2 linked regions of the Rattus norvegicus genome follow. The protein of the gene in region 1 interacts with the protein of each later gene in a biochemical or structural test. Links are inferred from orthologs where the notes say so. Each region holds a gene or a part of one and is shown on either strand. Other genes may lie near its edges. The genes, in order: Cops7a and Cops6.

Region 1 (3,913 bases):
TCCTGGCTGTTGGGATTACAAATAACCAGCTGAATCCTTTAACTTTTAAATTTCCTCACCTGCCTAGGTTCTACTTACACTTTTCTCCTGTTGAGATTCAAGTATTAAAACCAGAACGATTAGGTGTAGTAATCCTTCTGGTTTTAATCGGCCAAAAGTCTGGTCACGTGGTCTGAAATTCCAACGGAAGAAAACCTCAAAAGCCTGACCAATACACTTCCCTTTCCCCTTAATCATTTGGGGGTTTGTTTTGTTTTTTCCAGACCGGTTCTCAAGTAGCCCAGACTGGCTTGGTATTTGCTATGTATTTTTTGCTTCGTTTTTTTTTTTTTTTTTTTTTTTGATTCTTTTTTTTCCGGAGCTGGGAACTGAACCCAGGCCCTTGCGCTTCCTAGGCAAGCGCTCTACCACTGAGCTAAATCCCCAACCCCCTGGGGCTGGTTTTGAACTCCCGATCCTACCTCTATTTCCAAAACACAGGGAAGCGGTGTGGGTCACCACTCCCTGCCCCCTTGCATTTTAAACTTTTATTCTGCTCTTTAAAAAACATGAGTGGTTGAACTACCTAAATTATCTACCGTTGAATTCTAGCCACGTTTGTCTACTTTTTATTCTGCTCTTTGAAAAACATGAGTGGTTGAACTACCTAAATTATCTACCGTTGAAACTCTAGCCATGTTTGTCTCCTATTTTTAGTTTCTGCATCTTCTCGTCTTCCACTAACGCTCATGCGGCCGGAGGAACTTGGCGCTGCCCTCCTCCCCTCTCCTGCAGCTACCGGGCGGTTCATCTACCCAGGACCTCCACGGAGCCAGGATTTTCTCTACACCCGGCATCCACCGCTCCCGCACCAATAAAGCTTTATCGACAGAGCGGAAGCTAGGTGTCGCTCTCTCACCTCCTTCGGTCGGGAAACGGAAGCAGGCCATAGCCGGCCGGAACCCGCCTCTCGAGAGCGGAAGTGCGGCCGGAAACTGGCCATAGAAGCGCGTGGCTAGAGCGACCCTGCGGGGAGGTGGCAGGAAAGGCTGGGAGCCGCTGCCGGAGGTGACGGAGCGGCCGCCCCGCCCCGCGCGCTGGAAGACGAGGCTTCCAGGTAGCGGTCGGTCGCAGTCTGTCCCAGGGTACGACCCGGCCTTGGGCACAGATTCGCGGACCCGGGGCTGCCTCTTTAAGGGAGGGGGTGGAGCCACGAGTGAGGATCGAAAAGGTGAGGTCACGTGGTTGAGGACACGTGCAAGACACGAGTTTAGAGCTGGGAGTTCGTCGTCGTTGGGGTAGACACCATGTGCCACCTCTTCCCTCCCTTCCTCATCTGTCCTGGAACTCAATGGGATGCACGTGGTGGGGCTTGGGACTGCCCCGATGGAGGAGAGGGTGGGCGTGGCAGCCAGGATGTGGCCGACTTTAAGGAACCCTAGAGTTGGCTTTTAGACTTCTTGACCTAATTGCACACTGCAGAAGTGACGTGGTACCTCTTGAGTGCAGTTCCCCACCCTTGAGCTGACCACCCTCACGTGGTTCAGGGACCTTTAGTTTTACGTTCCTCTTTCCTTGCAGCTCCAGAAAACTTGAGGCCAGAGCCCCGCACCAGGGTGCAGCCATGAGTGCGGAGGTGAAGGTGACAGGGCAGAACCAGGAGCAATTTCTGCTCCTTGCCAAGTCGGCTAAGGGGGCAGCACTGGCCACACTCATCCACCAGGTGCTGGAGGCCCCTGGTGTCTACGTGTTTGGGGAACTGCTGGATATGCCTAATGTTAGAGAGGTGTGTTGCTTGCCTGGGTAATTCAAAAAGAACCTCGGGACCAAAGTTTCCTTGAGAATGGTGGGCTCATTTTGTAACCAATAGCCACTCAGGTGAACAGGGTATTGATAATTAGATGTCAGCTTGGAAAAGTAAGCAGTCAAAAAAAGGTCTTCATTTCCTGTATCTCTTACAGAAAAGGGGTCTGTAAACTTACTGCTCCCTTCCTCTGTACCCACAATTTCAGTCAGGGTTTCACTGCGTAGTCCTGGCTGCACTAAACTGGTAATCGTCATCTGGGCTGGCCTTGAATGCTTGAGAATCTTCTTGACTATGCCTCATGCAGAAGTTAAAAAAAAAATTTTTTTTTTATTTAAAAATGTGGAACGCTTTATAAATTTGAGGTCATCTTTGCCCAGGGACCATGCTAATCTTCTCTGGATCGTTCTAGTTTTAGTATATGTGCTGCTGAAGGAAACACAGATTTTAAATTTTTAAACAAAAGAACATGTCATACACAATACCACTCATAAATGCCAGCTCGTCCACCAGTATGATATCTTTACTGTTGTTATTGATGTTGTTGTTTTTCGAGACAGGGTTTCTCTGTGTACTATAACTTGTGTTCTGGAACTCTCTGTGTGTTCAACTCAGAGATCCACCTCCGGAGTGCTGGGATTGAAGATTTGTGCCTATTGATACCTCTTAATAATCCTGTCACCATCATTTGGGAGGTAGAAACAGGTGGATCTCTGAGTTAGAGGCCAGCTTGGTCTACAGACTTGAGTTCCAGGACAGCCCCTGTTACACAGAGAAACCGTGTCTTAAAAACAAAACAACAAATCTTGTCACCTGGATCAGAAAAACCTAATTAAGTCTCAGTTTTCCCTTAAAAAATGGTGATGAGAACCTTGAAACAGCTGATAGAGTGGTTGCCTAGCATTTGTGAGGCCTTGGCTTCCATTTCAGAACTTGGGATGCTAAGGTAGGGCACCACAAATTTTAGACCAGCCTCTGCAACTTAGACCCCATCTCAAAAAAGGAGTAGGGATGTACTCAGTGAAAGAGCCCTTGTTTGTCGTATGCATGGCTCAGTATAGGTACAGTTCTCACAACTCCAATGAGGGAAAAACCGAAAAAAACACTACCTGGGCTGGAGAGATGGCTCAGCGGTTAAGAGCACTGACTGCTCTTCCAGAGGTCCTGAGTTCAATTTCCATCAACCACAAGGTGGCTCACAACCATCTGTAATGGGGTCTGATGCCCTCTTCTGGTGTGTCTGAAGACAGCTACAGTGTATACATATACATAAAGTAAATGATAATAAGAAAAAAAGCACTTCCCTTCACAGTTACAGTAGTAACTGTGGGAAAGTCTGGAGTCTCCTAAAATCAGAGAGAATGGGCATTTGAGTTATGCCATGGTAAATCCCACCCCCACCCCTACCCCACCCCCAGGTAGATGGTGAAGATGCTGTCTTCCCTAAGACAGTGGCAAACTGCTATGAACACAGTGACGAGAACATTCAGGGAAATGGCTGAGTCAAGAACGTTAAAAGTGGGGTTGGGAATTTAGCTCAGTGGTAGAGCGCTTGCCTAGGAAGCGCAAGGCCCTGGGTTCGGTCCCCAGCTCCGGAAAAAAAAAAAAAAAGAAAAAAAAAAAGAAAAAAAGAACGTTAAAAGTATAGAGCAGATGGATGGCCAATCCTGGGACACCAGCCTGTCATGAGAGTGACAGTAGTGTGTGGCTAGACTGAGCCAGGCATTAGAAGACCCGTGGTGGAATCAGAGGATAGAATGTTTTTTGGGACTGCTGTTTCACAAGAAACTGGCTTTTGTCCCTGATTTTCTCTACAGTGAACTAAAGTATGTCCTTAAGATGAGGTAGAAGGAGCATTTCCAGCTTGTGTTCCAGTGAAAGAGATCGGATAAATGGATAAAACAATACAAGTCAGCAATTTATCAGTAACTTACTTCGAAGGCCACAGCTCTGGGTCCTTGGAGGCTAGCAGATGCTGGGTCTATAGCCTTGTTAAAACATTGTTGGGGCTGGGGATTTAGCTCAGTGGTAGAGCGCTTACCTAGGAAGCGCAAGGCCCTGGGTTCGGTCCCCAGCTCCGAAAAAAAGAACCAAAAAAAAAAAAAAAAAAAAAAAAAAAAAAACATTGTT
Region 2 (3,913 bases), on another chromosome or scaffold:
ATGTCCATGACTATGATTGGTTAAAAAAGAAAGAAAAAAAGAAAGAAAGGAAGGAAGGAAGAAAAACAGGCTGTTATTGGCCCCAAATGAATGACTGTGGGCCAAATGCTCTTTCTTGACTTTTTTTTTTTTTTAAAGATTTATCTATTACATATTACAAGTACACCATATCTGTCTTCAGACACACCAGAAGAGGGCATCAGATCTCATTATAGATGGTTGTGAGCCACCATGTGGTTGCTGGGATTTGAACTCAGGACCTCTGGAAGAGCAGTCAGTGCTCTTAACTGCTGAGCCATCTCTCCAGTCCCTTTTTCTTGACTATTAAAGGAGGTTGCTTAGCCTCAGTTATTGATCCAAGTGGGAAACATACTTGTCTTAATCACTGTTCTATTGCAGTAAAGAGACACCATGACCAAGGCAACTCTCCCCCAACCCCTATATTGTGAGAGTTTGTGTAACCTTGGCTGTGATGGAATTCACTTTGTTGGCCAGGCTGGCCTTGAACTCAAGAAATCTGCCTGTCTCTGCCTCGCTAAGTGCGAGGATTAAAGGCATGGGCCACAAGCCTTCCCAGTAGCAGTCACTAGGTTGTGTAGAATCAAGTTGCCTTGCAACTGAAGAAGCAGCTGAACAGTTGGAGTAATCCACTGGGGAGACGGCTCGGGGGATAAAGTGCTTGCTTTGTAAGTGTTAGGAACCGACTTTAGATCCTCAGTTCACCGTTTCAATATTTTTATTTATTTGTTTTATATGAGTACACTGTTGCTGCCTTCAGACCCACCAGAAGAGGGCATCAGATCTCATTACAGATGGTTGTAAGCCACCATGTGGTTGCTGGGAATTGAACTCAGGACCTCTGGAAGAGCAGTCAGTGCTCTCAACCACTGAGCCATCTCTCCAGCCCCCCTGCTCACCGTTTTAAAAACAAGGCAGGCTGGGCACGCTGCACACCTTGAATCTCAGCACTCAGGAAGTAGAGGCAGGTAGATCTCTTTGAGTTTGAACTCAGCCTAGATGAATAGCAAGTTCCCAGCCAGCTGGGCAACACGGTTAGACCGCAGTTCAACAAACAAGTGACCATGTCACTATAGATTATATGCAACGTGAAAAATGTTATATCCTTAATAAATTACAGCGTTTCCTCTTTTTGATCGCAATTTTCTCTGCGTCTAGTATTGACAAAGTATCCCCTTTGAGACCTGGAAACTAACAGCCCTACTTGGGAGGTAAAGGCAAGAGACCAAAAGTTCAAAGTCATTCTTAGATACACAATACAGAACTCATGGCCAGGCCGGTTTTCATGAGAACCGGTAGCAGCAACACAACACAACACAACACAACACAACACAACACAACACAACACAACACAACACAACACAACACAACACAACACAACACAACACAACACAACACAACACACTGAGAACCATGGGCTACCAAGTACTGGCAGACGCCCCGCCCATTAGCAACACAGAGTACACACTGAGCATGCGCCGCTCGCCGACGGAAGCCGAGATGGAAAGGGGCGGGCCGTGGCTGGCGGGCGCGGGGAAAATGGCGGCGGCGGCGGCGGCGGCTGCGGCGGCGGCGGCGGCGGCGGCGAACGGGAGCGGAGGCAGCAGCGGCATGGAGGTGGATGCAGCAGGTAACGGGGTGCAGGGAACGACTTCTGGAGTCGCCCTTGCGGAGTGTCTTGAGTACTTCTTAAGCCCGGGAGAAGCGACATCTCTCCCAGGATAACTTGAGGGCAGGGATGAACGGCCCGGCTCTACCGGTCCTCTGCTCCCATGTCTAGGGGAGAATGTGTGGGCCCGAACTCTCACCCGCTATGTTTTTCTTTCACTTTTAACAGTCCCCAGCGTGATGGCCTCCGGAGTGACTGGGAGTGTTTCCGTCGCTCTTCATCCCCTTGTCATCCTCAACATCTCAGACCATTGGATCCGCATGCGCTCCCAGGAGGGGCGGCCTATGCAGGGTGAGTGTTGTGTGTAAATCTCAAAATTTCCTCTTGGAGATCTCCTCTTGGAGATCTCCTCCAGTCCCTCCCCCCGCCCCCTTTTCCAAATTACTGTTTCCCCAGTCATTAATACACACTGACTTCAGAGTCTCGGGAAAGGTTTTCGATGCTTGAACCTCACCTATTTTCCTTGCACTTCTGCTTCTCTCTCCTTAGTGATTGGGGCTCTGATCGGGAAGCAGGAGGGGCGAAATATCGAAGTGATGAACTCCTTTGAGCTGCTGTCTCACACCGTGGAAAAGAAGATTATCATTGACAAAGAATATTATTACACCAAGGAGGAGCAGTGTGAGAAGGGAATAGAAGTGGGCGGGAAGGAGAAGTGGGGAGATTTTTGTTTTGTATTTAGAATAGAAAGGTATAGTTATGCTAAACTGACCCAAAATTTGAGGGAGGGAGGAAGGGAAAAGCCGGTAAGGAAACACACCAGGTCCATCAAACTCAGGAAGAGAGGTTTAAAGAAATATTTACTCTGGCCCCTTCTTCTCCAGTTAAACAGGTTTTCAAGGAGCTGGAGTTTTTGGGTTGGTATACCACAGGGGGGCCACCTGACCCCTCAGACATCCACGTCCATAAGCAGGTATAAAAGCTCACATGTGTGCATGTTGGGGAAGAGAACAGAAGGTTATGGGAAGAAGAGATACTGACTTTTTTTGGGCTTTGTCTTCTAGGTTTGCGAGATAATTGAGAGTCCTCTCTTTCTGAAGTTGAACCCTATGACCAAGCACACAGATGTGAGTATTGTTGACCCTATGACCCCTTTGTCTTGATCATCTGCCCCTATATGCCTCTGCTCTGATTTACTCTGTGACATCATGTGTATTAGAGAACGCTTGAGTTGAATCTCCACGCTGCTGTTTACTTACGCCCATCAGTTGTGTAACTTCATCTCTTCAGTGGTGTCGCCATATGTAATGTGGGTAAAACTTACTCCAGTAGAGAGAAAATTGTGAGCTAAGTGTGGCAACAACACTTGTAATCAATTTTAGCACTCAGGAGATTGAGGCAAGAGAATTGTGAGTTCAAAACCAGCCTGGCAAGTTCAAGTGCATTTGCTTCTAGTAAGAGCTGTTCTCTTGTCTCCGTCTGTTTTTACAGCTGCCTGTCAGCGTTTTTGAGTCTGTCATCGATATAATCAATGGAGAGGTAATAGTTACCCTGCAATCTTCAAATCCTGCTTTAGCCTGTCTCCTAAATGCTGTGCACATGTGCACAGGCATGGGGCAACCCTGGGTGTTTGTCGTAGCTTTCTACCTGGAGACAGAATCTCGTGTTTGCCAGGCTGGTTGACCTGTGAGCTTCTGGGATTTGTCTTCACTTCCCATTTTGCTGTAGAAGTTCTGGGATTATAGACACATGCTGCCACATCTTGATCCTTAGTCTCGTGCAGCAAGCGCTCTACCCACTGAGCCGTCTGCCCAGCCCTGTTTCCTTGCTGAGAACCCTTTACTCTGCAGGCCACAATGCTGTTTGCTGAACTCACTTACACTCTGGCCACTGAGGAAGCTGAACGTATCGGTGTAGACCATGTGGCCCGGATGACAGCTACAGGCAGTGGGGAGAACTCCACTGGTAAGGGGGTTGAATTCAGTTCTTTGGAGGTATGGGTTGGGTGTGGCCACTTGCTACCTTTCATTTGTCCTGTCCCCCTGCAGTGGCTGAACACCTCATAGCTCAGCACAGCGCCATCAAGATGCTGCACAGCCGTGTGAAGCTCATTTTAGAGTACGTCAAGGCCTCTGAAGCAGGTAGGAGAGGTACCTCACCTTTAACCATCTTTCCTCCCTCCTGGAGAAGTGACAACATCCACATCAGTGCAGCCTCATTGTGCCCTTAGGAGAGGTTCCCTTCAACCATGAGATCCTGCGGGAGGCCTATGCCCTATGCCACTGT

What was found.
Region 2: the proteins of Cops7a (region 1) and Cops6 form a complex in vitro, tested with the Homo sapiens proteins (3 studies listed by BioGRID, with this or other methods). The link is inferred for Rattus norvegicus from reciprocal best matches to the Homo sapiens genes COPS7A and COPS6.

The regions. Positions count from the first base shown.
Region 1 is NC_086022.1:159,457,349-159,461,261, reverse strand, and holds the start of Cops7a (COP9 signalosome complex subunit 7a), read left to right. Parts: upstream 1-1,088; 5' UTR 1,089-1,210; intron 1,211-1,231; exon of another isoform or gene 1,232-1,330; coding exon of another isoform or gene 1,331-1,344; intron 1,345-1,560; coding exon of another isoform or gene 1,561-1,603; coding exon 1,604-1,765; intron 1,766-2,119; exon of another isoform or gene 2,120-2,225; intron 2,226-3,913.
Region 2 is NC_086030.1:22,151,172-22,155,084, forward strand, and holds the start of Cops6 (COP9 signalosome complex subunit 6), read left to right. Parts: upstream 1-1,516; 5' UTR 1,517-1,518; coding exon 1,519-1,648; intron 1,649-1,855; coding exon 1,856-1,978; intron 1,979-2,176; coding exon 2,177-2,308; intron 2,309-2,511; coding exon 2,512-2,600; intron 2,601-2,691; coding exon 2,692-2,754; intron 2,755-3,118; coding exon 3,119-3,166; intron 3,167-3,477; coding exon 3,478-3,592; intron 3,593-3,675; coding exon 3,676-3,768; intron 3,769-3,857; coding exon 3,858-3,913. UniProt on the Homo sapiens protein: Component of the COP9 signalosome complex (CSN), a complex involved in various cellular and developmental processes.